4 linked regions of the Rhinolophus ferrumequinum genome follow. The protein of the gene in region 3 purifies or fractionates together with the protein of the main gene of each other region. This does not show direct contact. Links are inferred from orthologs where the notes say so. Each region holds a gene or a part of one and is shown on either strand. Other genes may lie near its edges.

Evidence for each region.
Region 1: the proteins of POLR2E (region 3) and POLR3E purify together in Homo sapiens (affinity purification with mass spectrometry; 5 studies listed by BioGRID and IntAct, counting the BioPlex papers as one, with this or other methods). This does not show direct contact. The link is inferred for Rhinolophus ferrumequinum from reciprocal best matches to the Homo sapiens genes POLR2E and POLR3E.
Region 2: the proteins of POLR2E (region 3) and POLR3C purify together in Homo sapiens (affinity purification with mass spectrometry; 4 studies listed by BioGRID and IntAct, counting the BioPlex papers as one, with this or other methods). This does not show direct contact. The link is inferred for Rhinolophus ferrumequinum from reciprocal best matches to the Homo sapiens genes POLR2E and POLR3C.
Region 4: the proteins of POLR2E (region 3) and CRCP purify together in Homo sapiens (affinity purification with mass spectrometry; 3 studies listed by BioGRID and IntAct, with this or other methods). This does not show direct contact. The link is inferred for Rhinolophus ferrumequinum from reciprocal best matches to the Homo sapiens genes POLR2E and CRCP.

Annotation. Positions count from the first base shown.
Region 1 is NW_022680357.1:16,770,249-16,777,559, reverse strand, and holds the start of POLR3E (DNA-directed RNA polymerase III subunit RPC5), read right to left. Parts: upstream 3,019-7,311; 5' UTR 2,885-3,018; intron 1,585-2,884; 5' UTR 1,380-1,584; intron 1-1,379. UniProt on the Homo sapiens protein: DNA-dependent RNA polymerase catalyzes the transcription of DNA into RNA using the four ribonucleoside triphosphates as substrates.
Region 2 is NC_046305.1:50,080,745-50,088,204, reverse strand, and holds the start of POLR3C (DNA-directed RNA polymerase III subunit RPC3), read right to left. Parts: upstream 3,019-7,460; 5' UTR 2,867-3,018; intron 2,777-2,866; exon of another isoform or gene 2,601-2,776; intron 1,854-2,600; 5' UTR 1,834-1,853; coding exon 1,687-1,833; intron 1,200-1,686; coding exon 944-1,199; intron 835-943; coding exon 649-834; intron 1-648. Other genes in the region: E3 ubiquitin-protein ligase RNF115, read left to right, coding at 3,337-3,438. UniProt on the Homo sapiens protein: DNA-dependent RNA polymerase catalyzes the transcription of DNA into RNA using the four ribonucleoside triphosphates as substrates.
Region 3 is NC_046301.1:61,883,403-61,890,621, reverse strand, and holds the start of POLR2E (DNA-directed RNA polymerases I, II, and III subunit RPABC1), read right to left. Parts: upstream 3,014-7,219; 5' UTR 2,862-3,013; coding exon 2,805-2,861; intron 2,156-2,804; exon of another isoform or gene 1,645-2,155; coding exon of another isoform or gene 1,627-1,644; intron 1,091-1,626; coding exon 916-1,090; intron 1-915. UniProt on the Homo sapiens protein: DNA-dependent RNA polymerase catalyzes the transcription of DNA into RNA using the four ribonucleoside triphosphates as substrates.
Region 4 is NC_046290.1:99,603,565-99,611,303, reverse strand, and holds the start of CRCP (DNA-directed RNA polymerase III subunit RPC9), read left to right. Parts: upstream 1-4,739; 5' UTR 4,740-4,873; coding exon 4,874-4,881; intron 4,882-7,739. UniProt on the Homo sapiens protein: DNA-dependent RNA polymerase catalyzes the transcription of DNA into RNA using the four ribonucleoside triphosphates as substrates.

The sequences.
Region 1 (7,311 bases), on a different chromosome or scaffold from region 3:
ACAACAAGGGCTCACAGCCGTAACTGTCCTACCATGTTTCCCCAAAAATAAGATCTACCCAGAAAAGAAGGCCTAGCATGATTTTTCAGGATGATGTCCCCTAAACACAAGCCCTAAAGCGTCTTTTGGAGCAGAAATTAATATCATGTTTCCCCGAAAACAAGACCTAGCCGGACAATCAGCTCTAATGCGTCTTTTGCAGCAAACATTAATGTAAGACATAAGAGCGGGTCTTATATTAGGTCTTCTTTTCGGGGAAACACAGTGCTCTAAGTGATACAGTGATGGTTTCTACCCTTGCTCATGAAAATGAAAAGTGCTGGTTAATGTCCCCCTAAGTTGATTTCTCATCCCACAATTTGAAATAAATCTTCACCCACAATTTGGAAAGTACTGCTCTAGCAAGTCTTCCTGTGGTCTCTCTTTCCTACCTCCAGTCCTTCCAGAAACAGTCAGAGTTGTCCTGATAAAAGGGTAAATCACATCGTCTCCCTGCTCAAAACCCGTCGGCTGTCACACAGACTAAAACCCAAATGCCCTCCCAAGGCCCTAGGGGATCTTGCCCCTGCCTCTCCCTCATCACCCACCTAGGCAGGTGGGCCTCCTGCTGGGCCTGCAAGCCCAGCCTGCCTCAGGACCTTTGCACATCACCTCTGCTCCCCGGGTCTTTTCAGGCTGGCTCCTTTTCATGATGTCACCACTACCCCCACCCACACACAGGTTTCCTGACCACCCCATCTTAAAGCATCTGCACCCCAATCCCCGCCCCAGTCACTACCACATCTCCCTGCTCTGTTCCCTTCATGGTTCTTCTCACCATTGGAGCTACCGCGTCTATTTGCATATGTATCAGTCTTCTGCACTAGACTGTGAGCTGCAGGAGGGCCTCTCCACGCTCCCACCGGAAAGTGGGGAGAGTCACACTTACTTCAAGTTGTCAGGGGGTCATTCTCTCTCTTGAAATTCACCGTTATTCCAACACCTAGAACAGGGCTTGGCATGAAGGGTGCTCAGTGAAGTTCAAACAACCGAGTAAACGAATGGATGGAAGCAGGCAGTCACAAAGCCTCAACCCAGTGGGCCTAACTCCGCCCCAAGCAGAGAGGGGTGGCCTCCTGGACCCTTGAGAACAGCCAGGGACTGGCCACCCAGCCACAAGCCAAGCACCCCCGCCAGACCCAACCACCTGGGCCTCCGCAGGGTGTCCTGTGGCCACAAGGGGACTCGGTGACAGAGGCTCTGTGGCCTTGGACACAAGATACTTCCCTCCGCAGAGAGCTGCTCAACAAATGGACACCAGATGGAGCTAAGAGGGGTCCAGAGCAGAGGTACCTGAAGGCCACAATGGGGGGCATCTGTGCTGCACCCAGGAGTCTAACCTGTCGGCCAATCAGAGAGCAGCGGCAACTCCAAAAGCTGGTGAGGGAGGGAGAGGTCTGCGAGGACAAAACACAAAGGACTTGAGGGGACAGGGCCCCAGGACGAACAGTCTCAAGGCCTGGCTTCTAACTCGCTGTAGGCCCCTTGGACAAGGCAGCTCCCCTCTGCGTCACCCGATTCCACCTGTGTCATGGCAGAGTTGGCCTAGGGGACGAGAAGAACTAATTAAGCCTAAAGGAGGGTCGGTCGGACCCTTGTCTAGAGAGGACTTGGCATACGTTCTCACTGAACCTCCTCCAGAGCCCCCTAAGTCAAGACTGGCCACGATCACGGAGAGAGGACACGGGGGCTGGGAGCGTAAGTAGCTTGCCAAGGTCACGACACGGGGGAATGAATGACAGCAGCAGCACAGAACCCCGGGTCGAGCTAATGGCCAAGATCCTTCTTCTCATTCCTAACTGCTGTGCTGCACCCCGGCTCACAGAAGCGAGCTTGGCCTGGTGGGTAAGAGCCCAGACTCCCAAGCTGCGCGGCACAGGTTCAAGCCCCACGCGTGCCGCTCGCCGCCCGCGGCCCACCCGGACTTTCACCCTTTTCATCCTCCACATGGTGACACGTCCCGGCCCCCAGAGGCCGGTGATGAGAGTTAACTACCGTAATCGATGTGACCTGGGGCGGCCTGTGACCAGCAGGCAACCTGTTTTCCTTCCACGTAAAAGGGTCTGGGACCCAACCGCACACCGCACGCTGCAGGCTGGGGCCCCCCCACCCCCCGTGTCACCGTCCTCAGCCTTCACCACAGTCCAGGGAGGGAGAAAAGTCCGAGCCTGTTTCACAGGTGACGAAGCCGGAGCGACTGCTCAGACCTCCGCTTTCTGCCCCATCCCGACGACGCCCGAGCCAACCGCCCCGTCGGTGTTTACTGGTTTAACCCACCCGCTCACACCACTGACACCGGCCCGGCGGACCCGTCAGGAACGAACGCCGAGCGGGGGCCAGGGCGGCGGACGCGGAACGCCCGGACCGGGCCGCTGGGGATCAGCGGCGACGCCCGCAGGCTGGTATCGGCCGCCCCCGGCCACGCGGGGCGGGCCGCAGCGCGGACCCGCACCGTCCAGTGGGTTTCGCCTCCCCCACGCGCGGTCAGGCCCCTTCCTCACGCCCCGCCCCCGCAGCCACCACCACCGGCCGCCACGCTGGCCGGACACGGGCCTCCTCAGGACAGGTGTCCCCGCCGGAGGCCCGCCTGGGCCGAGCGGGGCAAGACGGCTGGATCCTGAGTCACCGCCCGAGGCCGCGGCCTCCCGGACACCGGGCCGACGTCGGAGTGCGCGTCCGGCCTGGGTCTCCCGGCGCCGGCTGCCTGTCCCTCCCGCACGAGTGCGGGTGGCCACAGCCCCCGGGCACAGCGCGGGCCTCCCGGCCTACTCCGCAGCACAGCCCCGGCCCAGCTCGCGCGTGTGGCCCGGCTCAGGCCCGGCGAGCGCTGCCACCGCGAACTCACCTCTCCGCGGCGGCCACGCGCGGGCGGCGGCAACGGCCTAGGTCCCCGCGGGCTGCACAAGCGGCGGCGGCTGGGCTCTCTGCTCAGGCAGCGGCCATGTTGCCAGTGGAGAAACTCCAGCGGACACGTGGGAGGAGCACGCCCGGCCGCACGCTTCCTTTTACCCACAATGCCCCGCCCCGGCGCCGCGCGGGCCCGCCCCCTGCGTCGCTCCATTCACGCCGGCCGCTAGCTCCGCGGGCAGCAGGGGGCGCTGGTGCACCTGCAAAACAGAGCGGAGAAGAACGTGGCATGAAGGCCCCAGGGGCAAAAGGGTGATCCTGGCAGCGGTGGGATTCGAACCCACGCCCCCGAAGAGACTGGAGCCTTAATCCAGCGCCTTAGACCGCTCGGCCACGCTACCTGTGTGATGCCTCCTTTTTCCAGAGAGCTATTTAACATCTTTACAAGCGATTGTAACGCCACGTTACTAGTTTAATATGTGGTTTTTTTTGCTCGTGATGAAAGTATTTAGAATACATGTAGTTAAAAGAAAATATTTGCTCTGCTATTTAGGCCCAGACTTGTTCCTGATAGGTTTTAAAGTGCAAAGCAGTTTAAGAGCTTGTATTGAGTCGGGCGTTTAACCAGGAGAGTTTAGGTTAACCCACGCGACTCGGGTTAGGAATCTCAGGGAGAAATGATGGGTTCCGGCAGTAACCCGCACCAGGGGCTTCGAAGGCTACCCCAGGGGAGCTGGGCACAAATAATACGTGAATTATTGCAAGATATTAAAACCTCTGACCCCATCCTAAGATGTAACCTCCGCAGATGTAACCATTGTCATCAGCTTAGTATACAGCCTTTGTATTTTTTGCTGTGAATTTATTTGGATATATTCATACAGATATAGGTATCTGTAGAAAAGAGATGTTTTGTTTTTAGTGAACATGGGTTTTTACATAAATATTATCATACTATTGGTATTGATATGCACTGGATTTTTTTCACCCAACTGTATTTTTGAAACATCTATCCATGTTGATGTATACAGGTGTTTAAAAACACAGAAAAAGTACAAAGGAAAAAATAACCATCCATATTCCCACCCTCTTAATATTATGGTATTTCACTTCCAATTCTTACCCTTTGTATACACTTTTATTACGCAGGGAATGGTATGAATATGTTGTCCTTTTAAAAATCCATTAAAAATTATATTACACCATTAGAAATAAAAATAAAGCCCCCTCCCAAACATTCTGCCCTGTTGTAACTATTGTCATGAATTTGATGTGTATCCTTCCAATCCACTTCTGACACTTCCATGTCTATATAAATATTTGGGTGTGTGTGTGTCTGTCTGTGTGTGTGTATATACCCATGAACAATGTATAGTACAGTCTTCTATTATGTTTTTCATTTATGTAAACATTACTACTGTGTACCAGTATCATTCTGCAACTTGTTTTACTCCAACATTATGTTTTTTAGGTCTATTATGGCACATATAGATCTAATCTGTTCCATACTATGAATATGGTCATTTTAAGTTGTTTATATTGTTATATTCAAGTTTCTGGTTAATATCCAGTTGGCACACAAGTTAACATTTGTGCACACGACTTAACATTCCATATTTCTACTCTTCAAGTCTACTTTAACCTGGTTTTATTTCTCCATTTACTTTTAACATAAGTGTTGCTATGCAAAGATTTCATTGCTCTAGGAGAGTTTGTTGTTTTTAAAGGCATTTTTTTAAAAATACAGAAGTAGCCGTTTATTGGGGATACAGGCTGGGCATTGTGGGGGGTTTAAAGCTAAATGAGGGATCGTCCCTGAGATCAATCGAAGCACTGATTTAGTCATGAGGCTGTAGAGCCAGGAAGGACTGTATTTGTGAGTTGTGTGCTGGGTTTTCCAAACGGAAAAGTTCCCATAGTGCAGGATAAGGGGTCTCTGCGTAATGCCACTTTTCTAGGAATTGCCTGATCAGCCCAGAGAGTGGGTCCCTGGCACCCACCTTTGTGCCGTGCATCCCTGCCCCACACCCCGGTCAGTGGGTTCCATGGGAACAGGCAACTCAGGTTGGACCACACAGATTCTCTTTTGAGAATCTGAATTGGGACAGGGTGAGTTCCTGATTTGTTCATTTGACTGTTTTCAGAGTTGGAGTTAGTCTCTGAGACTGAGTGGGACTAGGGAGAAAGGTGTACGTGGGGTGGCCAGTCTGTGAGGTGGATCGGAGGAGAGAAACACCAGTGCGTGGGAAAAGACAGAACAACGAAATGAAAAGAGCAGAGTCATAGAGAAGTCCTGCTTTTCTGGCTTCCAGCTCAGGACCCTTCCCAGGACCCAGTGGGATTCACGTTCCCGGAGGCAACCCTGTATCGTTGTAATAAAGCCCTTTTCTGCTAAAGCTGGTGCTACCTGGTAGCTGTCAGTTGTAACCAATAAACCTCACCCTCACATGGTAAGGAATCAAATGATGCTAGAGATATTTCTGCCAGAGCATTCTGTAGCAATTCAGGTCTGTCCCTACAGTACATGCTGAATGGGATACTTAAGGGAGTTTCTTGCAGTCTGGCAGCCCCATCACACAGCTGTCTGGTGACCATCAGAGGTGGGATTGAAGTGGAATGTTGCATCAGAACTCCTGGACCCACAGGGTCCCAGGAGCTCTAGGTAAGGGGAGGGAGGGAAGGGCTGAACCCTGGACTATCCCTTGGTGCGTTTACTTCCCTGTCCCTGACTAATGGGGCAGGTGGAGGGGAGAAAGGCTAGCACCCCAGATCAAACACTGCCCACTTGTCCCCCTCTGCCAATCTAGGGGCTGTCAGATGAAGGGTGTCTGTGTCTGTCTCTGTATCGTAAGCCCTTAGCAGTGGTCAGTGACGAAGGCAAGGAGGCTCAGTCTGAACCCCCTCCACACTTCACTCCCTTGCACCTGTCCAAGGAAAATCATTGCAAACCTGGTCTGAGACCAAACCTTCTTGCCACATGAATCTTCTTCTGGAAAGAAATGAACATTCCTAATAAAAATGCTTAAGCATTTTTCTTATGAAATCACTAGTATTGAGATTTGTGCTGGGAAATGCGTTCTCTACCCACCCAGTTGACGGGTCATTTGTCAGTGACCTTAAACCAAACATTCTTTTCTTTTCCTTTAGATTGTTCTAATCTGTCACCTTCTGCTTCCTAGATCTCCTCCACACTTGCCCTGGTACCTCTGCTTCTGAGGTCTGATTCTTTCAGTTTTACCTTCCATTCTGTAGACCACTCCCTTCCCCCCAAATTGCTTCTTTGCTAAAGCTAACCAGCTTTGATTTCTGTTACCTGCAACCAAGAAATCGACGTGACCACCTAGGCCTCCCCCAAAGGAACTTTGTCCCTTTAGTTGTGAACAGAGCACTGATACCCTTACCACGGTGACCATGGCACTTTTTTTCTGAAACAAATGTTTAATTCACGGGCATGAATCAGAACTCCCTGGTAAACTGGGACATGCGTTCATCTTACACCTTGCCCACTCAAAGCTCCATCTGACAGACCTGAATGAGATTTCCTGTGTTGAGTCAGATCAAACTGCAGGTTCCATGACTGGTGGCACCCTTCCATCAATTCCTGGGAAGTTCAGCCTTGGAAATACTTCTGGTGTCTTGGGAAGATGCTGCTAGGTCATGGGAATCAAGCATCAGTCGGCACTGTTTATGTTGGGACTACGATGACATCTGATCTTTGAACCTCTTTCTTTCTTGATCAATCAAAACATTCCTGGCAAATGCTTTCCCCATATGACCCTTTTAAGCCTCCTTTTTTTCATCTGTGAAATGGTCACAATACTGAGGTTTGTCGCCGGGTTAGAGATAACTGTATATACCCAGCCCAATGTCTGACATACATCATTGTTTCTAAGACACGTTTTCACATTTTAATATGTCGAAAATTGACCTACATCTTATGATCAATGTCATATAGTTTATTTTCAGTGTTTTTCTTATTAATTCATCAAATAATGGTGCATCTTAAGATCAAGGGTGTCTCAGATTCAATCAAACAGTAGATGCTCAATATATTAATTACTATAATGAATTTTTAATTTAGCGAAATTAGTATTTTTAACTTAGTAAATATTTTAAGTTCTTTAATTTGATAACGTTATCAAAGTTGTACATGAGTCCACTATCCATCCTACAAGGCTTATTATCAAAATTAGCAGTATGCCTACCCCTCTAGCCCCAGGCAAGCACTTCCAACTTCTGGCAGATTCTTCTGGTATGATATTTCTCTCCATAGGTCTAAACAATATGCTTATATTCCTGCTTTTTTCCCCTATCAGTTTTAGGCATTCTCTGTTGACTTCCTACTAATGAGGACAAGAATTTAACTCTAGCCACCTCCACCACCACAAACACTCCCCTTACTCCAACACCCCTAACAGTCATACT
Region 2 (7,460 bases), on a different chromosome or scaffold from region 3:
TTTCATGGTTTTCCTCTGCTCTTAGGATAAAGAACAGATAGTCTATGAGGTCTTGCATGTCTAACCCCTGCCTATATCTCTAACCTTATCTCACGGTTCGCTTTCCTTTGTTCACCATGCGTTAATTAACTTACCTGCTTTTGCTTCCTCAAATACCCTATTCTTTTCTCAGTATACTGTTCCTTTTGCCAAAAATGTTTATCTTCTGTACCCCTTCATACCTTACCTCACTGGTTGGCTTCTACTTCCTGCTTCAAATCTGAGCTTAAATGCCACTTTTTCAAAGGAGCATGTGCCCCAAGTCCCGAAGTAAGTCCAGTCCCCTGTTATATATTTGCATAACACTTCATGCTTTTCCTTCACAGTATTTATCACAGTTTGTTAGTTATGCATCTATATGGTTATTTGATTAATGTAAGTTGCATACAGTAGACTTACGCCCTGAAAGGGTAGGGACCCTGATGGTTTTTCATCATTTTAGACCAAAGTATCTGGCACAGAGTAATTGCTCGATTCATTTAGTCACTCACTCATTCAACAATCACTAAGAAAGTATTTGCTCGATTCCTTCATTCATTCATTTAACAATCATTGAGAAAGAATCTACAATTAAGGCAAGTCACAAGTCCAGGGGTTCAAATTCCTTACCTATCAAGCTCAGTTTAGGAACCAGGTACATGTCCTTTTCATTGATGACAAGAGTGGGGGCAGGTGGTGGTGGCCCAGCGTCTGAATTCTCAGCGGCAGGCACCAAAGGGCAACGCTGTACAAAATGTGTGTCTGCTAGTCGCACAAATGTGTTTGCTACCTCAGCGTAGTCCATGGTCTTGCCGTCTGTACAACAGGAGGAAGAAGCAGGTGAGAGGGCTGAAGATAGCTGAGGGTCCGCTCCTGCAGCCAGCTAATGTATGCTTTTGCTAACAGCTATGGATACAGTACTAACCCTCCATAGTCTCTGTGAGCCGGTCTGCCACTTTCTTCACGACAGCTGACATTGTCATTTTGCCATTCAGCAGCAGCTCCTCAACAATCAGCTCTCCAGTGTCATTATACAGTGTTTTGGCAGTATAGATATAGCGGGGGTACCTGAGGATTCTCAACACCCGGCTGCACTGGGCTTCATACTCCACTACACCGCGTTTATGTACTTGATATATCACCAGGTTATGTTGGATGAGGACACAAAGGGCTTTTTTTACCTAGATAAGACCCAAAAGAAAGAGGGAAAAGATCTGGAGACAGCTCGTTATTGTTGGCAATTTTTGTTCAACAGTGTACTAAGCATCAGGAGAGGACCAGATAATTTCTGCGCTTTCTTCCCTCCGTTGGAATAGCTAATAAAAATCACATGTCAATGGAAGAAACCAGGAAGATTCCTTGTTGTGATGCTCATACTTTGATCTGTATCGTTCAAAGGACAATTAATTTCTCCTCTATTATTCTCATTCCTTAAAAGCATTACTGAGATTAATAGGCTCAACGTCAGTAAATGAGATATGGCAAAGGAAGAGCAAAGATTTGCCTAAGAGCCACGAGGAGCCAGGATCCTTTGCCCCCAAATAACACTGGTCTGATCCGAGAGCAGGATTTCCCCCTTTCCATTTCGTGAGGTAGGGAGTAACAATATTCAAAGGTAGGTAACAGAAATTAATGAAATGAAAGCAAATTAATATCATCCAAACATACCTGATCCAGGGATGTTCCTGTGTCATGGGCAATTACTCTTAGTGGCTGGCTGCCAGTTCTGATGAGGTGGACTCCAATTTTTTCCACAATCTCTCCAAAATGCTCTTGCAACAACAAAGAGCACAGTTTAATTTCTGCTTGAGTCATTGTACTGAGGGGACTCGGAGCTAGGAAGAAATAAAAAAGACTATATGATGGGAAGTTTTTATGTTGGGAGTAGAGCTGCTGAGTATAAATTCATGGACTTTCTGGAGGGCAATCTGACATTACATATCAAAAGCCTTTGACCTAATAACTTTGTTTTGGATACTCTGCTCTAAGGAAATCATAAAAGGATATCACTGTAGTTCTCTTTAGAATACTGCTATACTGGAAACAACCTAATGATTAACAATAAGAAATCAATTCAATAAATTATGGTATACCCACACAATGGAATACTACTTCAACATTTAAAATGATGTATAATATATACTAGCGTCGAAAATTGTTCATTAAGTGAAAGAAGCAGACTACAACCCAAAATATAGAGAAATATTCAATAATAAAAAGTCATGTATGCATATCAAGACTGGAAGACTATACATCACATTGATCTTTATGGGATTGTGTGTAATTCTAATTTTCTTTAAAGATAGGATTAGATGGTTTTGCAATGTCACAGACTTTATTTAGATTCTATACTTCGTTGTTTGGAAGAATTAAGACCACAGCCCATTGGGAGTGAACAGGCAGTGTCATTCCCAGTCTATAAAGGAAATGACAACTTAGAAGAGATTAAGAGGTAAAGGAGAGCTTCGCAACACGGTGTTTCAAATAGGAAATGGGGTATGTTGTCTTCAGGGCCATAGTCTGAAATTTCTACTTCTTGACAAAGTAGATACAGAAATAGACGTAGTTGACTATATAATTACTTTCTTATTATCCCAAGTGCTACCAAACATTAGTGCGTTCATTTATTTCTCCCAATTCCTCAGAAGCAAGTCTTTGCCTCTCGGCCTCAGTATCCCCGTCCACACGTCTCTGCGGAAGCATCCCCACACCCTTTGCCATCCTCGCAAAGGATTTGCAAGGATCTTGGCTCCTGGCTCTTTACTCCCTTCACGCAGGTTCCCGTTCGGGGCTTGGTGCCTCGGTCCAGAGAGCCGGCCGCCTCGTTCAGGCAGCATTTTCCACTAACCTCTGGGTCAAGGCAATCTAACGCCGCCGAGTTCCCTGCGGCGACTTCGCGCGGCTCCCGCTACCGCTATGGCAGGGGGAGCCCTCGGCCCTTTCTCGCAGGAGGACCGGCACCGCGGAGGACCCGGAAAGGGGTAAAACCTGGGCCGCTCTACCCCAGAGTCTCAGTGGTTTCTGGAGACGCTCTTTCTCTCTTCTCGCTGGTAGGTTGGAGGACAGGCGAAAGGCTGTCGGAGGAGCCGGCGGGCGGACTCTCCTTCCTGTGCCTCTTTAGTGCTGGAGGCGGGCCTTGGGGTCGCAGTCCGCGCCGACGCCCCGCCGCCTCACGTGACTGACCTGGGCGCTGGAGCTGCCGGCCAGAGTGAGGAAGCGGCGACCGAGGCGGCAGCGGAATCGACTGCACCCGGGAGGTAGCGGCCTGGCGAGGGACGGGCCGGCTGCCCTCTCGGACCGCCGCGGCGGAAGAGAAAAATGGCGGAGGCCTCGGCGGCCGGGGCGGGCTCAGGCGCCACCGTCGCCGCGCATCGGTTTTTCTGCCACTTCTGCAAGGGCGAGGTCAGCCCCAAACTACCGGTAAGAGCCCAGTGTCCCCTGCGTTTGGCGTTGGCGTGGATTCCTCGCCCCGGAGTCCCGGAATGGGTCTTCAGCTCCCCTCTACACCCTTGAAATCGGTCTCCCAGATGCTGCTGCCCACTGTCTCTGGTCGCTGACCCCAGACCCCGGGCGTCCCGATCCTGGCTGCTCCTGAACTCCCGCCCCGCCTTTTATCCCCCCTCGGACGCTCCACCTGCCCCTCACGCCCTCTCCTTTCTTGACCTGCCCCCCTCCACCTTTTTTCTTCCTTAGCAAGTCCTCTCCCCTGACAACTCGCCTTACTTTCCTTGCACTCTTCCTCACCTTGTGTCCTTCCCACAGTGACCTCGCCCCTGTCGAGACTCTTTCTGCTGCTGCAGCTTCTCGCCTTCCTCTGTTTCCTTTTCCCCTTTGCCTCCCCCCACACCCTACCCTTAATGAAGCCAAATAGCGGATCGATGAGGATGGCCTCTATTCGGTTGTCTCTAGGGAATGAAGCACGGGAAGAAGAGGGTTGGAAGGTAACTGGGGCGGAGGGGGATTTCGCTCTTCAGTGGTTTCCAGCGTTGTTGTGAAAGTGAAAACAGCAGTGTACTAACGACTCGCAGACTGTCCTCCCTCTCACTATTGAAGGAAATGGCTTTAGGAAGAAGGCAGGACATGTTGTTTCAACTTGGGTATTGTCGTTGTTGGCCTGCCAGGGTCTTGAGCACCACCCACCTGCCCCGCCCCTGTCCCATTCTGTCTCTTCGTGAAAAGATCCAGGACAGAATGCTGGGGACCGCGTCCTCTGACATAAATTGGTTTTCACCCGTTTCTGCCAGACGGTCAGTGCGTCCCTAGAGCGGTAGTGAAGACAGCGCTTCTGCAGCGTGCTGGCCAACCCCAGAAGCTGTTTGGGTTGGGTCCTAGTTTCTTCAGGGAGACACACCTGGGTGAATAGTAATCTCTTGGCCACCCATCTTTGGAATTAGTTAGGGTTCTTTTCCTTGGAAGTATCCAGGTTCAGTCTTAAGCCAGGGTGTCTCCCTAACAACTTAATTCTATAGTGTCTCTGATACAACCTATGAGAAAGCCTACTGAATTAAAGTATGTCTGTGTCTTATTTCTTGGACACACGAATGGAGTCCTGTGAATAAGCTCCTAAAGGGATTTTAACCTTTTCACCTAAAAGTTGTACTTTTTTTTTTTTAAAGGCTTTTATGGCATTTTCTTTCCTTTCTGTTTGCCCCAACTTCATAGATTCATCTTGTGAAACACAAAATTTGAACTTCATTGGCCTAGGTCTCAAGTCTTTGTAATGGAAAGGGTTTATTAGGCTATTGCCAGGCAAAAGAAAAGACTGTCTTGGGGCATCGAGTCTAAACCACCAGCTTGGTAGGAAAGAAGACATGTCCATCACCTGCGGAGTTTGCAAGTGTTTTTTGTTTTGTTTTTGTACATCAGGTAGCAGGAAGGGGGAAGAAAGGTGTAAACTGTCTGAGAGAATTTACATTCCATTAGCTATAGGCAAGGGGTGGGAAGTGGGGCCAGCTCTGGGATAGGCTCAGAGTCCACAAGAAGAAATGTCCCCTCCTGTGGATTGGCTGTGGGCAGCAGTCCGGAAAGCCCACGTGTAAACAAGAAGCGGAGGCTCCTGGAGGTCAGTGGTGCTTGGCTGGAATAATCTGCGGAAATAGCCACCTGGAAATTAATCCGAAATTCCTTCAGGCAATGGAAGGAATGTGAGCAATCTTTTGTCAGAGCTGGTCCACAGCTATTAACAGGCTAACTGTTCTGTCTGTCACTCTGGCCTCTGTAATTTTAATTTAAAACATCGCAGAATTTTCTTCTTGTCAGTGTACTTGTTACTTAGTTTGCTTGCGGATTTGTGTGTGCATGCACCTGTGCTTTGTGCCATGTTTCAGTGCGGGGAAGAGCAGGTGCCTTGTTTTTTTCCCAGGGGACATCAGAGCCCCCAGAAATCTCGCTGTCAACAAAGATGGAGCCTGGGATTTGTCCAGTATGTGTGTGACCAGTGACATGTTGAATGTGATGCTTTGTTGAACATCGTGACCTTAGTTCTTTCTTCTGGTCTTTTTAATCGTTGTTTACTTATTTGCCTTTAAGAGCTAGAAAACAGTCTAATTTTCCGCAACTTTTTTTATTTTTTAAAATCACCTGAAGGCCTCACTGTAAAGTGCTCTTGAAAAGTGATAATTTGAAAGACGGCAGGTGTTTTTCTAAATCTTAGTTTGATGCCCAGAGGTGAAGTTATTGATCTTTTTAGTCTGATTTATTATCTCTGATGCCAGGTTTGTAAATTGAGGCCTAACACAATTGAATTTAACAGGACTACTTCTGCATACCACAAGGTTCTAGGTTCTCTGCTAGATGTCCTCAAGGCAGTACCTAGGACTATGTGTGGTTCCTGCCCTTAGGGACCTCAAAAAGACAAGACTAACTGGAATAGTTAACAATAGTAGGTGAATGGGGATAGATAAGAAGTGCTTTAGAATTCATTCCTGCCCTTAGGGACCTCAGAAAGACTAGACAAACTGGAATAGTTAACAATATAAGGTGAATGGGGATAGGTAAGAAGTGCTTTAGAATTCAGAGGGAGGGAGATCCCGGATGATAGCATTGGCGAGGCCAAAGAAAGAGTGAGAGATGGGTTTTAAATTGAGTTCTGCAGGCTAGGTAGAATTCCGATTGCGGAGAATAGCATAGACTAAGGGAGGAAAGGAAGAGTGAGTTGAGGGAGAAGAGAGAAACATTTAGGAAGTCACTGTTACACATTTTTAAGAAAAGGTGCAGTGATGTCAGAGGTAGAGTTTTGATGCGCAGATCAGCCAGTGAGCTTCATCTTGTTTCATGACCGTTTCTATCTCCTGAACCCAGACTGTCATCTGGAAAATGTTGGTTGGAAGAATGACAGGTCAGTAAGTGGCTGATTCAGTACGAATCTGTCTCTGTTGCTAGCTAAACGCTAACTCAAACACTGTTAAGTCAGTAGTATGACTGTTCATATGTATAGGACACGCTGAAAAGATTTTTAAAATAATTTTTTGTATAAACTTGAGATTCCCTCGCTGTAAGGACTCAGCATATATTAGGCATGCATTGTTTCTTCAGTTGGATGAAAGTTTCGGGAAATCTGCATGTCTTTTTGAAGAGAGCTAGACCCAACTTAACACGAATAAAGTTTTTCTTTGTCTTGACTTATTTTGCATTTCAAGGGGGTACTTTTGTGCAAGTTGGATCACGGGAACCATCACCCATGAGTGCTGTCCTCTGAACACCTGAGGCTGAGTACTGAGTTTTACATCAGCTTTTAATGAGCTGTAGCTTCGTAGGTAAGTTTCTTCTCCCAATCAGTGGGAAAGACTGCGTCACAGCCATCTCACGTCTTGCCCGTTTATTCACTGCATAGCAGAGTCATAATTGTGTTAGTGGGACTAGGCTGCGAGGTTTTGACAACTTTTACTTTTCCCTTCTGCAGTCTCTAGGATACAGCTCTTCTTGATACATTTGGAAGTGTGTGTAGGCAATAGCAATAGCTTACCTAACGTTTGCCCTGAAACTACCTTAGGTTTTTATCATTTTTCTTGTCAGTTCTACTCTATATTAGTGTCTATGTTAGAAGAAATAGTTTTGGCTATAACTTCAGGGAGAAATTGGAATATGCCTAAAGCTATACAGGTTAAGCCACATTCGGTTGAATGAATTTGGTGAAGTAACTCCTTACTGCTGATCCTAATCTATCCATTTTAGCTTCGTGTGTCTGGTTTGGATCCTCCCAGATAAGAGAACAAAAGTTTCATTTAGAAAGAAGATAGGAAATGTGGGGAAACCATGAAGGGAATTTTACAATGAAAATGATCAGTGCTGCTGTTATCTGTTAGGCTTCAAAAGAGTCTACGTTCTAGAAGTGAATATTGATTTGGAAATCTCTTTCTCTTTAAGAGTGTTTTCCTGTTTACGGTGAAAACTATAGTTCTCTTTAGAATACTGATATACTGGAAGCACCCTAATGATTAACA
Region 3 (7,219 bases):
GCCTGAGACAGAAGCAACCCAACGGACACCTTGATCTTGGCCTTCCAGCCTCTAGTGACAGGGACAAGCAATGGCTGTTGTTCTGTGCTGGTGTTATGGCAGCTGAAGCAGACCAACACAGGCAGGAGCATCAGCCTGTTCTGCAGCACGTCCCAGGGCCAGTGGCCCCAGCATCACCAAAGACCCACAAGAGCCGTCAAACCTCCTAGTCCTGGCCCTGAAGGTCTGCAGATGGCTCCATGGGACGCCAATGAGTAGGCACCAAGGGCTTCAATAACCACATCTCATACACAGGACACTTTTCTGAAAAAGTGCGACAAGGTTCCGCTCTGCAAACACTGTCTGCCCAGCCCCTTGATTCTCAGTGCAGGGTGCCCCAAGATGCTGGACACTGCTGGCCCCTAACTTCTGCAGGCCTTAGAGCCAGTCGACACCAGCGGGTTAGACACTAAGACAGAGGAACAAGGGGTCCCCAACACACCCCTAAGTGGGCTCGTCACTCAATCTGGGGCTCAGCGGGGGGCCGTGAGCAGCAGTGCAGGAAGGAGCTGGTGGGAGTGGAAGCTGCACTCACAGGTGAGAGGTGGGGCAGAGAGGACAGAGTGGGTCTGAGGTCAGGAGTGGTTGGGGCCCTGGCGGGAAGGTCTATGGTAATCCTGGTCGGAGAAAATGGCTGAGGAAGAGAGAATGGGGAAGTGGATTGAGGAGGAAACTGGAAAAGGCTCTTGGAGGGGTCAGAGGTCAGTGGTATCACCCACAGCATGAAGGAGCTCTCTCCTCAGGGTAGGCAGAAGGAAAAGGGCCACCGTTGACTCTGAGTCACACAGCAGGGGGCTGCGATGAGCTGGACCCTGCGCTGCCGCTCGGCTGGCCCGACTAGAACCATGACACCTCAGGCACTGGCAAGGCCCTCACCTGGGAAGAAGACAAACATCTGGTCAGTGGGGTCATCATTGTGGGCCACCAGCACTGTGAGGTCCGTGCGCCGCGGCCGCCCTTCACTTGGCTTGTCCCCGAACTGGGCTTTGAACTCCTCCAGCGTCTGGTCCAACTCATCCTGCGTCACCAGGTAGCCACGGTCATGGCACAGCTGTGGACAGAAAGAGCCAGGTGACCCCAGGGCAGAGGGGGAAGTGCAGCAAGAGCCTGGGCGTGATGAGGCCACCGTGAGGATGACGCAGGGAGTTTGGGACCGTGTGGCAGGTGTGTGCAGAGGCCAGAGAAGAGGGACAGGGCAGGTGGGGACAAAGACCGGGTGCCTCTGAGGCTGCCCCTGCACTGCTCCGGTTACAAGCTGCCGTCCATAGTGTCATTTTATGCTGAACCTCGGGGCAGCCGTAATTGGGGAGCAAATAGCAGTAGGGCTGGGACTTAAGGTGGGGCTCTTTGAGGCCAGAGCCAGCCCTGGGGTCTGGGGCAGAGGGAGACAGCCAGGTGGGAAGGGTAGACTCTAGGGGCTCTGAGGGTGGCACTTCTGGGTCTCACCTCAGAAATCGGGGCTCTTTGAATGGGCTGACTAGAAGACCCATTGAAGAAAGGGGAGGTCAGAGAGCAGCCCTACACCCATCCCCTTTCCTCTGTGAAGTCCCCACAGCCTGATTCCCTCTCAGGATCCCCAACACCCACCGTCAGCCTGAAGCACATGTGTTTTGGTCCCTGTCTGTCGTAGCTTCACAAAGCGGTGGAGAGGCGGGGTGCGGCTGCGCAGGTTTAGTCCCGGCAGGATTCCTGCGCCGCTGGGTGATCTTGGTCAAGACCCCACACCTCCGTGGGCCTCCGAGGATCACCCTGGCCTCTTCCGTGGGGTGGGTTAAAGTATGTGGCATATAGTGACTGCTTAGCCAGCTGGCTGCTGTCACTCTAGTATCTAGAGTAACTCCAAGTTGCTGGCTGAGGCGTTGAAGTAGCCACCGGACACAGGTCTGAGAGATATGCCTGCACTGGATGGCAGGTCAGATCAGCTGACCCGGGTTTCTTCCAACCCCACAAGACTGGGATTCTGTGTCACGTACGTGGGGTAATGCTGGAGGATTCCAGGAAGTAAACAAGTGGAAGACCAGGTGGTCTTTCGTGTACTGTCTCTCTCTCTCTCCAGCTCAAGTAAGGCAGTGGGTGAAAACTGGCTTCCATGGGAAGTTAACCTCACAGGGTGATCTGATCCTAAACCCCTAACTGGGAAGGTCACGGGGGGTGGTCACACCCAGGTGTATAACTTTCTTAGTAAAAGGCTTGTCTTGGCCTGTCCATTGTTCATGTGCATCTAGGTTCACACACCTTTGAAATCAGCGTTACCACCCTCACAAAGAGTTAATCTCGTTAACTATTCCCTAATCCAGTTCCACCTGGCTTTCTCCCACCTCCCTGTCATCTTCCTCACCTTCCCTCCTTAATTCCAAATGCACAAAAGAAACTGCAGAACTCGAAGCATTTGGGATCGAAGGATTTGCTTCTTGGCATGTCGTCAAATAAACTCTTCCAAATATTCTCTACAGAGTCGTTCGGACCTTTCTTACGTCCGCAAGACCCTGACACGGAGAGGGCGAACATCCTAGGCAGACAGACCCGACTCCAGCACCTCGGACTCACGACTGGGCCGCGCGCGGGTCTGTGGGGTCCCTTAGGCCTGCAGAGACCCTCGATGCAGCCCCGGGAGCCGCCTTGGTCCAACTCCTCCACTCCACCCGCTCGGGCGGGGGTCGTGGAGGCTGGTTCCCGTTTGCAGCCTTTGCACTCATCGTCCGCCCCCCGGACCGCTGCGTGTCCGGCTCGCCTGGCGCAGCGAGGCCGGCCCTCTCCGCGCTCACCTGCATGATGGTTTTGCGGATCTTCCAAAGCCGGTAGGTCTCCTCTTCGTCGTCCATGCCTGCCGCCACTCACACTCACTGCGTCTGCGCCCGGCGGGACCCGCGCCTACTGAGCCTGCGCCCAGCCCCGGTCAGGCCCCACTCAGCTCAGGGCTGTCGCCAGCGAACGCCTGAACGCAGCGACCTCCGGGAGCAGCAGCGCCAAGGGCAACCCGAACCTTTCGAGAGAGATGGTTGGCTGCGCGAGAGACGTGCGAATGGCGTCGCCCACCTTCGCCTCGGAAGGTCTCGCGTGGTTTTGGGCGCAAGTTGTAGTTTCCGCTCAACGCCCGCCTCGGGACGTCCCGGCCGTTTAGAATCCCTACAGGCAGAAGCGAAAAAACGGAGGGCGGGGAAACTGCGGCCCGGATGGGATCGGGGGTCTGCTCTCCTCCCAGGAACGGATGGGTGGCCTAGGAGACGCTACATAAATATTTATGCATCCAACTGTAGGGGGTCCTCTTAGTTGCCTCTTGATCACATCCAACCTAATGGCCCCAGCTTCATTTTTCCCTGTCTGTACATTGGAATTTATAAAATGTCTCCATTTTAGAGGATTAGCTGAGGATCTAAAGGGGCTCCCGTGCTTGGGAGGTTGGTATAGCTCCTGGTGCTTATGTTGGGCTCCCACCTCTGTCCTCCCCACTTCGTCCCCTGAACCCCAGCCCGCCTCTGCCTGGATACCCCACCACCCAGTTCATACAGGAAGCTCAGCCAGCAGCCCAGCCCCTGACACTTAGGAGGCCATGAGTAACTTCTCATTCATTGATACATTCATTCAATCAGATACCGCCAACCACAGGGCAGGGAAGAAGCCAAGCACCCCCTTACATTCCAGGGAGAGTATAGACAGTGAACATAATAGACTGTGGACGGAAAAGGGGCCACACATTAAACCTGACACGTTCAGGAGACTGAAAATAACCACATAAGATGGCGTGAGCATAAAAATAATTTCGTAACTAAGTGGGCCATGGCAGGAAGTCGTATCTTTAGCCAAAAGCTTCCTTCATAAAGTTCATCTGTGCCTTTAAGAGGACCTGTCTATTGTCTTTTTGCACCTAAGATGACATCCTTGGAATGTCAGTAATTGCTATTTCCGGACCAGAGCAGGAAAGTACACGATCTCTCATTATTATTCTTGTCCCTTGGTTAACATCTCTATGAGAACTATTAACTGTCCTGTACCCACCTATGTGAAAGAAGTACCTGTCTCTCGAATTTACTTTTATCCAATCCCAGAGATTTCCCCGCTTTGCTTTCTCCCACCTCCTTAATCTACCACCAGTGGATTTCATGTAACCCTCCTCCTTTGATTCTCTGTATAAAACAAGCTGCAATCCGCCATTTCGCGGAGCATTTTCTTAGTCCGTTGAGATTTTACTTCCCAGCAGTTGTCGTCACTTTGACTCAAGTACACTCTTATAAGCTTTTTCTTAGGCTTTTTCTTTCTGGATGTTTTTCGTTGACATTTCTTTGCATAGTCAGCAGGATTCCAAAGAAACCCACCCAGGACCACCCTGCGGACCAGGATTCGGTGCTCGGTACCAGCAGAGCCCATTGTGCCCCACCGGCTCCCTGCCTCTCATCGGGTGAACTTGAGTGAGTTTTTCTTGGAATTTTGGACCTTCCTGTTTTAAGGTAGGAGGTCCTGACTTTATTTGAGCTGTTTGTTTGCTTGTATTTTAAACCTCGAGTTGGCGTTAAAGGTTAAGGGTTGAGATAACCCAGGTTAAGGATAAAGAGTTAAGATAACTTGGGGACAGGAGGGAAAAATGGGTGGCTGGTTTTAATTTTGGCTTTTCAATTGGAATTGTTTACTGCGAGTCTGAACAAAACTTTTTGCTGGATAAATGAGAGTCTGAACTTGTTGAACTCCGAAGATAAGGGGCATTTACTCCCTCCAGCTCGAATTTCGGGTATTCTTAGGTGACTAAGAATCTTTGTGGAGGTGTTTGGGGGTACTCCTCAAAACATGCAGTGGCCTCAGAGGCCACTGCAATTAAATATTTGCACATTTATATACACAACTAAATGCACAATTAAATACACAACTGCAATTAAATATTTGACTCGTCCGGGGACGCGCACATAAAGACTGGTTACCTAGCGCTCCGAGTCCTCATGGTTGTACTAGACAGCTGGGGAGAGAAACTGAGGCACATAAGAGGGTTGGAGCGACTCGGGAGGTAACAGCCCCTTGGAGCTCCACCCATAAGCAGCACACTTGAACTCACTACACAATATCACTAGAAATTTGTGCAGACTCTGCAGATCTCAAAAGAAAACTAAAAATTAACGTGGGAAGTAGTGCCTCTAAGGCTGACAAGCTCCCAGACCCCACCTCCATTAATTCCCCTGCAGATGTACAGTTTCTAGGGAGTCTACTTGCAAGTACTTACAGACATGGAAAGGTTTAACTAGAAGTGATATCAACTTCAGATGGCCAAAATGGAGCTCTTTCGACATCTAAATTAATATTTTTTGTGCACAATTAGAAAAAGCCGGCTTAAAAACCAAACTAAATGGAATGGGATGCTTACCTCAATTGGCAAATAGAAAGAAGCCTCTGAAATGGAATAGAGAGACAGTCTTCTCTCCAGGAAGTTAGTAAGGAAATTTTAGATACCGTCTCAAAACTGAAGAAGGTTCCTGCAGCTGCTCAGTGCCAGCACCGCACTTTGCCCTCTCCTCCGACTGTCCCACTGTGTGCTTTACCTGTCTGCACCTGCTCGCCTTTTCCTCCATCTGTCTTCTGCCACTCTGTTCCAGCTCCCTTTGGAGAGGAGCTGGTCTTGGGCGGAGGGGAAGGGAATCCGCGGTTAAAATTTTGCTAGGGAAACTACTGTAGAGGAATCTGCTTTTATTGTAAAAAGACAAGTTACCTTAAGGATTGTAGGAAACTAAAATAGGTTTAAGAAAAATAAAAGAAATAGAAGCGAGCATAGGGCTGCTCCAAGGACTATGAGGGCTTTTCCCCTTCTTACTAACACTGGGGCTACTTTCTCTGTTAACACCACCAGGCTAAGTTGCCCTCTCCCTTGGAGTAAAGCTTCTGTACAAATGGTAGGGACATCTAATCAACCAATGTCTGTTTAAATCAGAACCCATTCCTCTCTAGCTAGGAAATGTTAAGTGGCAACATCTATTTTTACTACTCAAATCTGCCCCAATTCACCTGATAGTGTGAGACTTTGTCACCAATGATACTCACATATCCTCCCAGAAGGATGAAATGTATTTAGGACTAAATGAATCAGATTGGGAATGGGAAAATAATGATTTTAAAAGAAACAATATGAGAGGAAACTAGTCTTGATACTGACGGAGTGTTTGTTACAGGATGTTCCAATACAATTTTAGGCTTTCTCCAGTACAGATATTGATTGGCAATATTAAGTTAGCCACTCCCATTAAAGTAACTATTGACAGTTCTTTGCCTCTACCTAATTATTTGCCAATATCCTTTGAAGCCTGATACACCAGCTGGAATTAGCTCATTATACAAGATTACCTTTAACGGGGGGCTTATCATTCCAGGTGTGAGCACCTGTAATTCTCCTATCCTTCCAGTAGAGAAACCCAATGGGAAAGGATGGAGATTTGCACAGGATCTCAGAGCTTTAAATAGATATCCTATGGTTCCAAATCCACATACCCTATTATCAGCTATTCCTGTGTGTACTGCCAATATTTTCAGTGATAGATTTATGTAGTACCCTTTTCAGTATTCATGTAAAAAAAAAAAAGAAAAAGAAAAAGACAGGAACTATCTCTGCTTTTCCACCTGGGAAGATCAGAGTTTACTTGGACAGTAATATCCCAGGGGTGTACACCTATTTCTCTCAGATACTAAAAGCTGATTTGAATAATGTTGAATTTCCCAGAAATTCTACTCTAATCCAATAATATATGGATGATTTATTCTTATGCTATATGCAATAGCTTCCATGGTAAACCTAGATTTGAGTTTCTTATTTACTTGAATAAGATCAGCCCACCAAACTGAATTAATTGATCTAACAGGAGCTTGTAAATGAGCCGAAGATCAAATAGCCAATATTTACTCTAATAGTTTCTATACGTTTGATGTAGCTCACAACTTGTTATGGAAGCAGTGAGGCTTCTTAACTTCCTCAGGACAGCCCATAAGGACGGAAAACAGGCTGCAGGGGGAGGCGGAAGAAGGGGGCGGGGGAAAAACAGGCGGCAGAATTCAATTTAGATGTCATACAGCAACCAAAACAATTGGCAATTATCAAAATTCCAGGACATTCTAAGGCTGCCATCATAGAAGGAAAAGAAAATAATTTAGCTGATAACCGCAGCTAGACCGGCAGCAATAAACAGCCAAATTATCCAGATTTGAGAATGTT
Region 4 (7,739 bases), on a different chromosome or scaffold from region 3:
GTGCCTTTGGATGAGAGGCAAATGCCTATGTAAACAGATGAACTTGAGACTTATTGCCAAATGACCGATCAGTGTACAGGCACAACGCATGAATAACGTGTGCACTTGATAACAAACGGACGTGGTTGTGTCCAATATGAATCTTCAGAATTCAATACATCATGTGTTGTAATGGATGTACTTATTGCACTCATGTGAAATAAAGAAACATTTTCTGAATTTTGGTGCCTACAATTTTTCGTCGCTTTTGTGTGGACCATCATCTTAACTGCCATCATTTTTGTTGCCACTCCTGTGTCGTAAGTCTTCAAGTAACACTTGATTTAATGGTAGATTTAAAGGGAATAATATTTTGATCCCCAGACAAGATGAGTGCAAAACAAAAGAGCTATTCCGTCGAGTACAAGAAAGGAATCGTGGGGGACTCCCGGGGCCAGAATCTTAAGGCTTTCTGCAAAGAGAAGAAGTTGGATCTCCGAATGGTTCAAAAATGGCGAGCAGAGTACAATAGCCTCAGTCAACAGGTGTACGAGGGAAACGCTAAGAAGCACAAGTGTGGATCAGGTCAGTAATCATTATTTCCTGAGCTGGAAGACATCATCTGTGAATGGACTGCTGACAGGAGAGCAAAGGCTTTGGTTGTGCACAGGGCTGATATTCAAGCATTTGACCTTGTAGTGGCACCACAGTTAGAAATACCCCAGAAGAATTCAAAGCCTCGCAACACTGGCTGGATGTCTTCCTTCAGCGATATGAACTGTCTCTAAGATCGACAACACTGTTAAAGCTGGAAGATACTGAAGTTATTAAACGTGCACTTGCATTCCAGTCCTTTGTCGATGGCAACAACTTTTATAAATACCAGCTCTCCAACATGATTGTTATGAATGAAACTGCAGTGTTTATGGGCCAAGGATCTCAAATGACAATTGATCAGAGGGGTGCCTCGTCAATCTACATTCCCTCCACTGGTTACAAAAGTGCATGTGTTACCTGTATTTTGGCAATTCTTCTGGGTGGAAAGAAAGCCCCACCTCTAATCGTCACTAAGGGCAAGAAAAATAAGTTTGAACATGTTTCAGGCATTTATGTTCTTGAAACCGAAAAAACCTGGTGCACACAAGCAGTTATAAGGAAGTGGGTCAATTTAATGCTGCCACTGGTTTTGCCAGGTGGCCAAAGAGGTCTGCTAGTCTGGGATTCAGCCAGCACTCACTGCGCTAAAGACATGAAGAACTTCCTTGCAGAGAGAATAGATCAAATAATTATTCCCGCAGGAATGACTGCCTGTCTCCAGACTCTTGATATGGCAATAAACAAGCCATTCAAGGACCATTTGTGTATGGAAATCAATGACTACATTGAAAATAGAATGGAGGGAAATCTGTGGAAACTTTGTGAAGCCTAGCCTGTAAGAGGTCGTGACTTGGGTGAAGAATTCATGGGATAAAATCACTGACAGCTGTGTTACTATTGCACTATGAGCAGGCTACATGGACAAGAAGTGCTCATTTAAGGAGCGCTCTATTGCTGGACATGAGAGATTGGGGCCAATGGTTCTACAGGAAATGGAGTCGCAAGAAATTCAAGCTGCAATTCGGGGTTTGGAGAGTTATGACGATGTTCCAGAAGAAGATGATGACATGACTATATTTGAATAAATGTGGATTTTTGTACATTAATAAATGTAGATTGTTGTACATGAAAAAATAAGACATCCCCTGAAAATAATCCCTAATCTGTTTTTTGGAGCAAAAATTAATATAAGACCGGTCTTATTTTCAGGGAAATACGGTAGATCAAATCCCTGGCATCAGGTAAGCAATAAGTCTTACTCTTCTAGACCTTCCCTGGGTGACTTAACTTGAAGGCTTCATTTCTACTTCAAAAGCTCCATCTCCTGATTTTCTTCTGAGCTCTAGACCTAATAGCTTCAGTGTTCAACAGAACTTTCCACTTGGAAGACATACAGACTTTGCTCAAATTCTGTGCTTTTGTTTATGTATTTGCTACCTCTGCTTAAAGGCCAGTTGTTGAAAAAGAAAAACAAGACACTTACTAGGTTTGTGTGCTTTGGGTGGCAAAGAACAGGGACTCATTAGGCATCCTCAAGTTAGGAAAGCTGCAAGGAGGCCCCGCCTGGGGCCAGTGCAGGTGGGAGTTTCAGCCTTTGATTGTCCCAGCTTGTTGGCTGGGTTAGCTCATCCTGCAGGATCCTTTTGGGCAGCCTTCCCCTGGGAGAGGGTCTCACTCCTGACTACAAAGCTGCTCGTAGGGGATAAGTCAGGTGACTGCATGTGATTCCCAAGGTCTTAGGGTGGCCACCCTTGGAGTACCTGGAGCTCAGCCATTTTATTGTGGGGCCTTCAGAGGCACTAGCCTCTCTTGTATGGAAGCTCATCCCTGCAGTTTTGTGTTTGTGTGCTCCTCCCCTCACCCAGCTCAAACCCCCTGACTTTATGATGCCTCTCCACCTCATTAGTCATTTCCTCCTCTGCTCCTTGTGTTTAAACACAACATATTGTAGTTATCGATATCCAGAGCTGGTTCCCAGACTAGGCTGTCAGCCAGGCAAGAAGTATACATTGTTCACATTTGTTTCACCACCGCCACTGTTTGCTGAGTACAGAACACATGTGTGTCTTTAGCACTGCTGGGGCCTGGGGTGGCATTTTATTAAAAAAAAATTTTAAGTAAATTAGTGTTTTTTAAAATAATATTTTTATAATTTAAAAATAACATGTACATTGAAAAATATTTTAAAAATTCTGAATGTGTAAAGTTAAATGTTAAAAATTCCCCTCAGTTCTCTTCTAATCCAATACCCATAGGCAAACACCAGTAAAACATTTTTTAACAGCTTTGTGGATATTCAATATTCGATTCAGATACCATGCAATTTGCCCACTTAAAGTCTACAAGTCAGTGTTTTTTTTAAGTATATTTATAGGGGTATGCAACTATTACTACAACCTAATTTTAGGACATCACTGTTTCCCCCAAAGAAACTCTGTATCTATTAACTGTCACTTAGCATTGCCTCCCCTCTCCCAGCCCTAAGCCATCAGTGATCAGTGATTAACTTTCTGTCTTTATAAATTTGCCTATTGTTGGACATTTCATATAAATGGGATCATAAAACATCTGGTCTTTTCTGTCTGGCTTCTTCCACTTAGTATGTTTTTGAGGGTCATCCATGTAGTAGCATGTATCAGTAACTCCATTCCTTTTATTGCTAAATATAGCATTGCATTGAATTAATATAGCACATTTTATTTATCCAATCATCAGTCACTATTAACAATTAAATACAATTCCTGTATTTGTTCAGATTCCCTGGGTTTGAATCCCTGCTGGGCAAGTTCTTAGATGAGTGATCTTGGGTGAATTGCAATCTCTCTAAGCCTGCCTCTATTTCCTCAATAATAAAATTTGAATAATGATGGGATTGACCTCATATAGTGTTATGGTTGTATTGTCACAGTAATTAATATTTGTTGAGCCCTTACTACATGCCAGGTACATTATAAGGATTACCTAACGGATCTATGATTTTCAGATTAGGGAATTGAGGTTAGGAGACGGTATGTCATCTCTCAAGGTCAAACAGTCCCTAAGAAAATGATGGAGGTAAACAGAATCACAGGCTCTCTGACTATAAAGCCTGCACAATTAACTGTTAATATCATGGAATAGCAAAGTGCTTAGCAAGGGCCTTACGAAGAGAATGAGTTTAGTAAATGATAACTAATAGAACTATAAAAAAGAAAAAAATAGCAATTGACTCATCATCTAAGGACACGTTCCACTGTTAATATTTTGGCACATTTCCATCCGGTCTTTAGGAAATATTTCAGATATATTAAAAAAAATCCAGAAAATAATAGACATCAACCTCCAACCCGTTTTGTATTCGTGCTGCCGAAGCGAGCACAACCTCCAACCCGTTTTTTTCCCTAAAAGGCTTGAAATGTGGTAGATTAGGTTGCTTTACCTCCCAAACCCTTATTTTTTCCTACGTATGCATTATTTTTCCTTAGGTTAGGGTCACACCACATCATTTTCTATCTTTAAAAAAACCCTATCTTGAGCATTTCCCCAGGGTACCAAATATGCTACATAACCTGTCATGGCCGCATGTTATACTATATGACTGAAACATGATTTATTAATTCCCCAGTGTTGGGCATTTAGACCATCTCCGAGTCAAAACATCACTACACGTTCATCTTTCTTAAAGCACCTGGTAATTGCCTTTGGTAAGTTCCTAGAAAGGCCGGAAGATCAGACTGTGCTTGACGGTAAGGCTCTTTATGCGTACTTTTCTTTTTTTGCCAAGTCGTTCTCAAGGAAGAATGGAAAGAGGGAGAAGGAAGGATGGGATTTTTTTCCCTTTTAAAATGTCTTATCCAATTAAAACATATATACACAAAAGTGGACATAAGTGTACAGCTCACTGAATTTTCAAAAACTGAACACACCGCGTACCCAGCACTCAGATCATGAAAAGATTATTTCCAGCAGCCCAAAGCCGCCTCACCCCCTCACCGTAACGTGTCCGAGGGGTACGATTTTAACGTCGCAAAGGTTTACTAATGCGGTGACGTCTTTGAAATCTTAACATGAGCTAAGTTCTGTGTGCAAACGCTTCACAGGCTGACGTCAGGCTGGGCGAATGGCACCTACACCTGAAAGAGAGCGCAGCCGCCCGTAAGGCTGCACCGCCCGGTCCGCCGGGCTCCCGGCGTGCAGCGCGGCGCTCCCGGCGTGCCCCGCGGCGCGCGGAGCGGGCGACCTGGCGTTCGACGCCGGCGGCCGTGAGGTTTGAGGTCGTGTGTGTGCTGGCGGCCGGAGGCGACGAGGCGGGGTCGGCATGGAAGTGTAAGCTGCCCGGGGCGCGTTTCCGGCTGTGGGCCGAGGCTCCTGGCGAGGGACGGCTGCATGCTGGGGGCCGAGAGGCGGGGACACCGGGCGACCCCCAGCCCGGGCTTGTGGGAAGAGTGACGCGGCGGAGGCGGGGAAGAAAGAGCCTCGCTTTGCCCTTCTGAACCTCCGCCCGCACTCCCACCCGGTGCCTAGGACTGGGGCCAAGTGCCTTTCACGGTGGCTGCCTCCTCCGTTATTCATTTACTAGCGTCTTCTAAGTCACAGTAGGGAGTCCGGCCGGGTGTCCGAGCGGGAACTCAGAAGGTAGAAAGCCTGGAGTCCGCCCTGGAAGTACCTACGGGACAGACGGATAAACTGTCCGAGGCAGTGGGCTCCTGGGCGGCCCTGACTCAGAAGTGCCACCCGAGTTTGATGAGGAGCAGTTAACCCTGGGAGGGAAGAGGCGAGTTTTCTGGGAAGAAGAAAGTGCTTGAGCCTGGATTGTAACCACGGAAAGAGCCGAGGAGAGAGAGAGAGAGGGAGGGAGGGAGGGAGGAAGGAACAGCCATTCTGACAGTTTAACTCCACCTGGTCTTTTTCATGTTTGCTCATTGTACTACATGCAAATGGAGCTTTTGCAGCTACTCTGCATGTGTGTTTTCACATGGTTGACATTAATTCGTACGCATACCTATATTGTGTCATCTTTGGCACTGATTATTTAATACATTTTTCTTTACGTTCTTTTGCCTCATGTTTAATGGTTATATATACTACTATTGTTCAAACTTAAAAAAAACACACAATACGTATATGTACCTTAAGTGAAAACTTAATGAAACAACACCTACCGTATGCAGTACACTTTGATATTGTCAAAACTACTGAAAAAGAGTCAGGAAGCTCTGGCTAGAAATAAATGAATAAAAATATTTAAATAAAAAGATTTATTCAAGGGTCTTAAGAGTTTGCTAAGTGGAAGCACAGCTAGGCAAAACTCTCAAGAAGTGTTCCGAAGAAGAAAGAAAAGTTGAGTTCTTGTAGTAAAAGTTATATCCTTGAGAATAAACAGTCCTGCATTTTAGGGCCTCTGATTGGTTGAGGACAGTTATCAGTCAGATGTCAGGTGGTCTGGATGATGAATGCCCATGGTCTGGAGGATGAGTGCCAGGAGGTCTGTTCTGAGTCCTTAGGAGTAGTCAGAGGGTTATCTGCAGGTTTGATGTATGTCTGGGCATTGACACTCAACAGACTGGTATATATCTAGGTATTGATGCAGGACTAGAAAGTTCCAAAGTTTCAGGTCCGGGGCTAGTTAAGAAAAGACAAAGAATCGTTTCCTCATACTTCAACCTTCATAATGTTAATAATTTAGCAGCTTGGTTAAAGTGACTCCATTTTATATTTTCCCCATCTTCATTCTTTCCTCAGTTTCTACTCATTTATTAAAAATGAATGTTGACCCTCTAAATTGATTTCGCTATTCACTAACGGGGTTTAATCTGCAACTGGAAAAATGTTCGTATTACTCTACCTCAAACCATCATTATCAATTTCCCCGTTTACTAGAGCATTTCCTGTCAGCATACAAACCTGCTTTAATTTATCTATATTAAAAACTTCCTTGTTTCCACATTCATGTCCACTTACTGCTCCATTTCTGCTTCCCATCATTCCTGTCACAACAAAACTTAGAAGTGTTGTGTATCCCCTCATTCACTCAATCATTCTGTTCGGCTTTAATCCTCACCAGTCTACAGAAATGGGTCTGTGAAGATCACCTGAGCCCTCCGTGTTGTCACTTCCAAAGGCTGATTTTCTGGCCTTAACTCTCTTGATCTCTTAGCAACAGTTGGTACAGAAACTAGAAACTCTCTTGGCTTTCTGACATGCTTACCTGGATTTCCTCCTGAAGACTTTCTCAGTCTCCTTTCCTGGCTCCCCCTTCCTCCCTTTCTTGGCTTCTAAATGTTGAGGTATCTTACGACTCATACTGGGACCCTTTTTCTCCACACTGTCTCCCCTGGTCATTGTACCCATCTATATGCTGATGATTCCCAAAAGTACATTTCTAGCCCTTTCCCCTCATCATTCATCCAGTTGCTTAGACCAAAAATCTAGCTTTTTTTTTTAAGGAGGTCGCAGTTCACAGTGGCCCATGTGGGGATCGAACCAGCAATCTTGGTATTATTAGCACCATGCTCTAACCAACTGAGCTCACTGGCCACCCCAAGAATCTAGCCTTTTTTCCTCACCCCTAAATCCAGTCCATCAGCCAGTTCTGTCATCTCCACTTTCAGAGTATATTTTAATGTAGTTGCTTCTAACCATGTGCAATACTAATTTTCTACTCCAACTCTGATCTGGATTAAGCAGTAGCCTTTTTTTAAATTAGTTTCAGGTGTACAAAACAATGTAATAGTTAGACATTTATCATTTATATCCCTCACAAAGTGACAACCCCCCTCCCCCCATCCACTACCCCTCTGACATCGCACAGAGCCATTACATTTCCACTGTCTCCATTCCTAATGCTGTACTCCACTTCTTGTATGTATATACATACATATAAATATATATATATATATACATATATATATATATATATATATATAAACTTGTAGTTGACATTCATTATTGTTCAGCTTCAGCTTCAGGTATACAGTGCAGTGATCAGGCATCTACATCATCCCTGAGGTGGTCTCCCTAATGAGACAAGTGTCCATCGGCTTCTCTATAAAATCTTTACATTATTGATTACATTCCCTAAACTTACTTTCCTATCCCCGTGGCCCTCTTGTGGTTACCACCTGCTTTCTAATCCCCCTCACCTTCCCCCTTATCCCTCCCCCATGTAGCAACCCTCAGGTTTT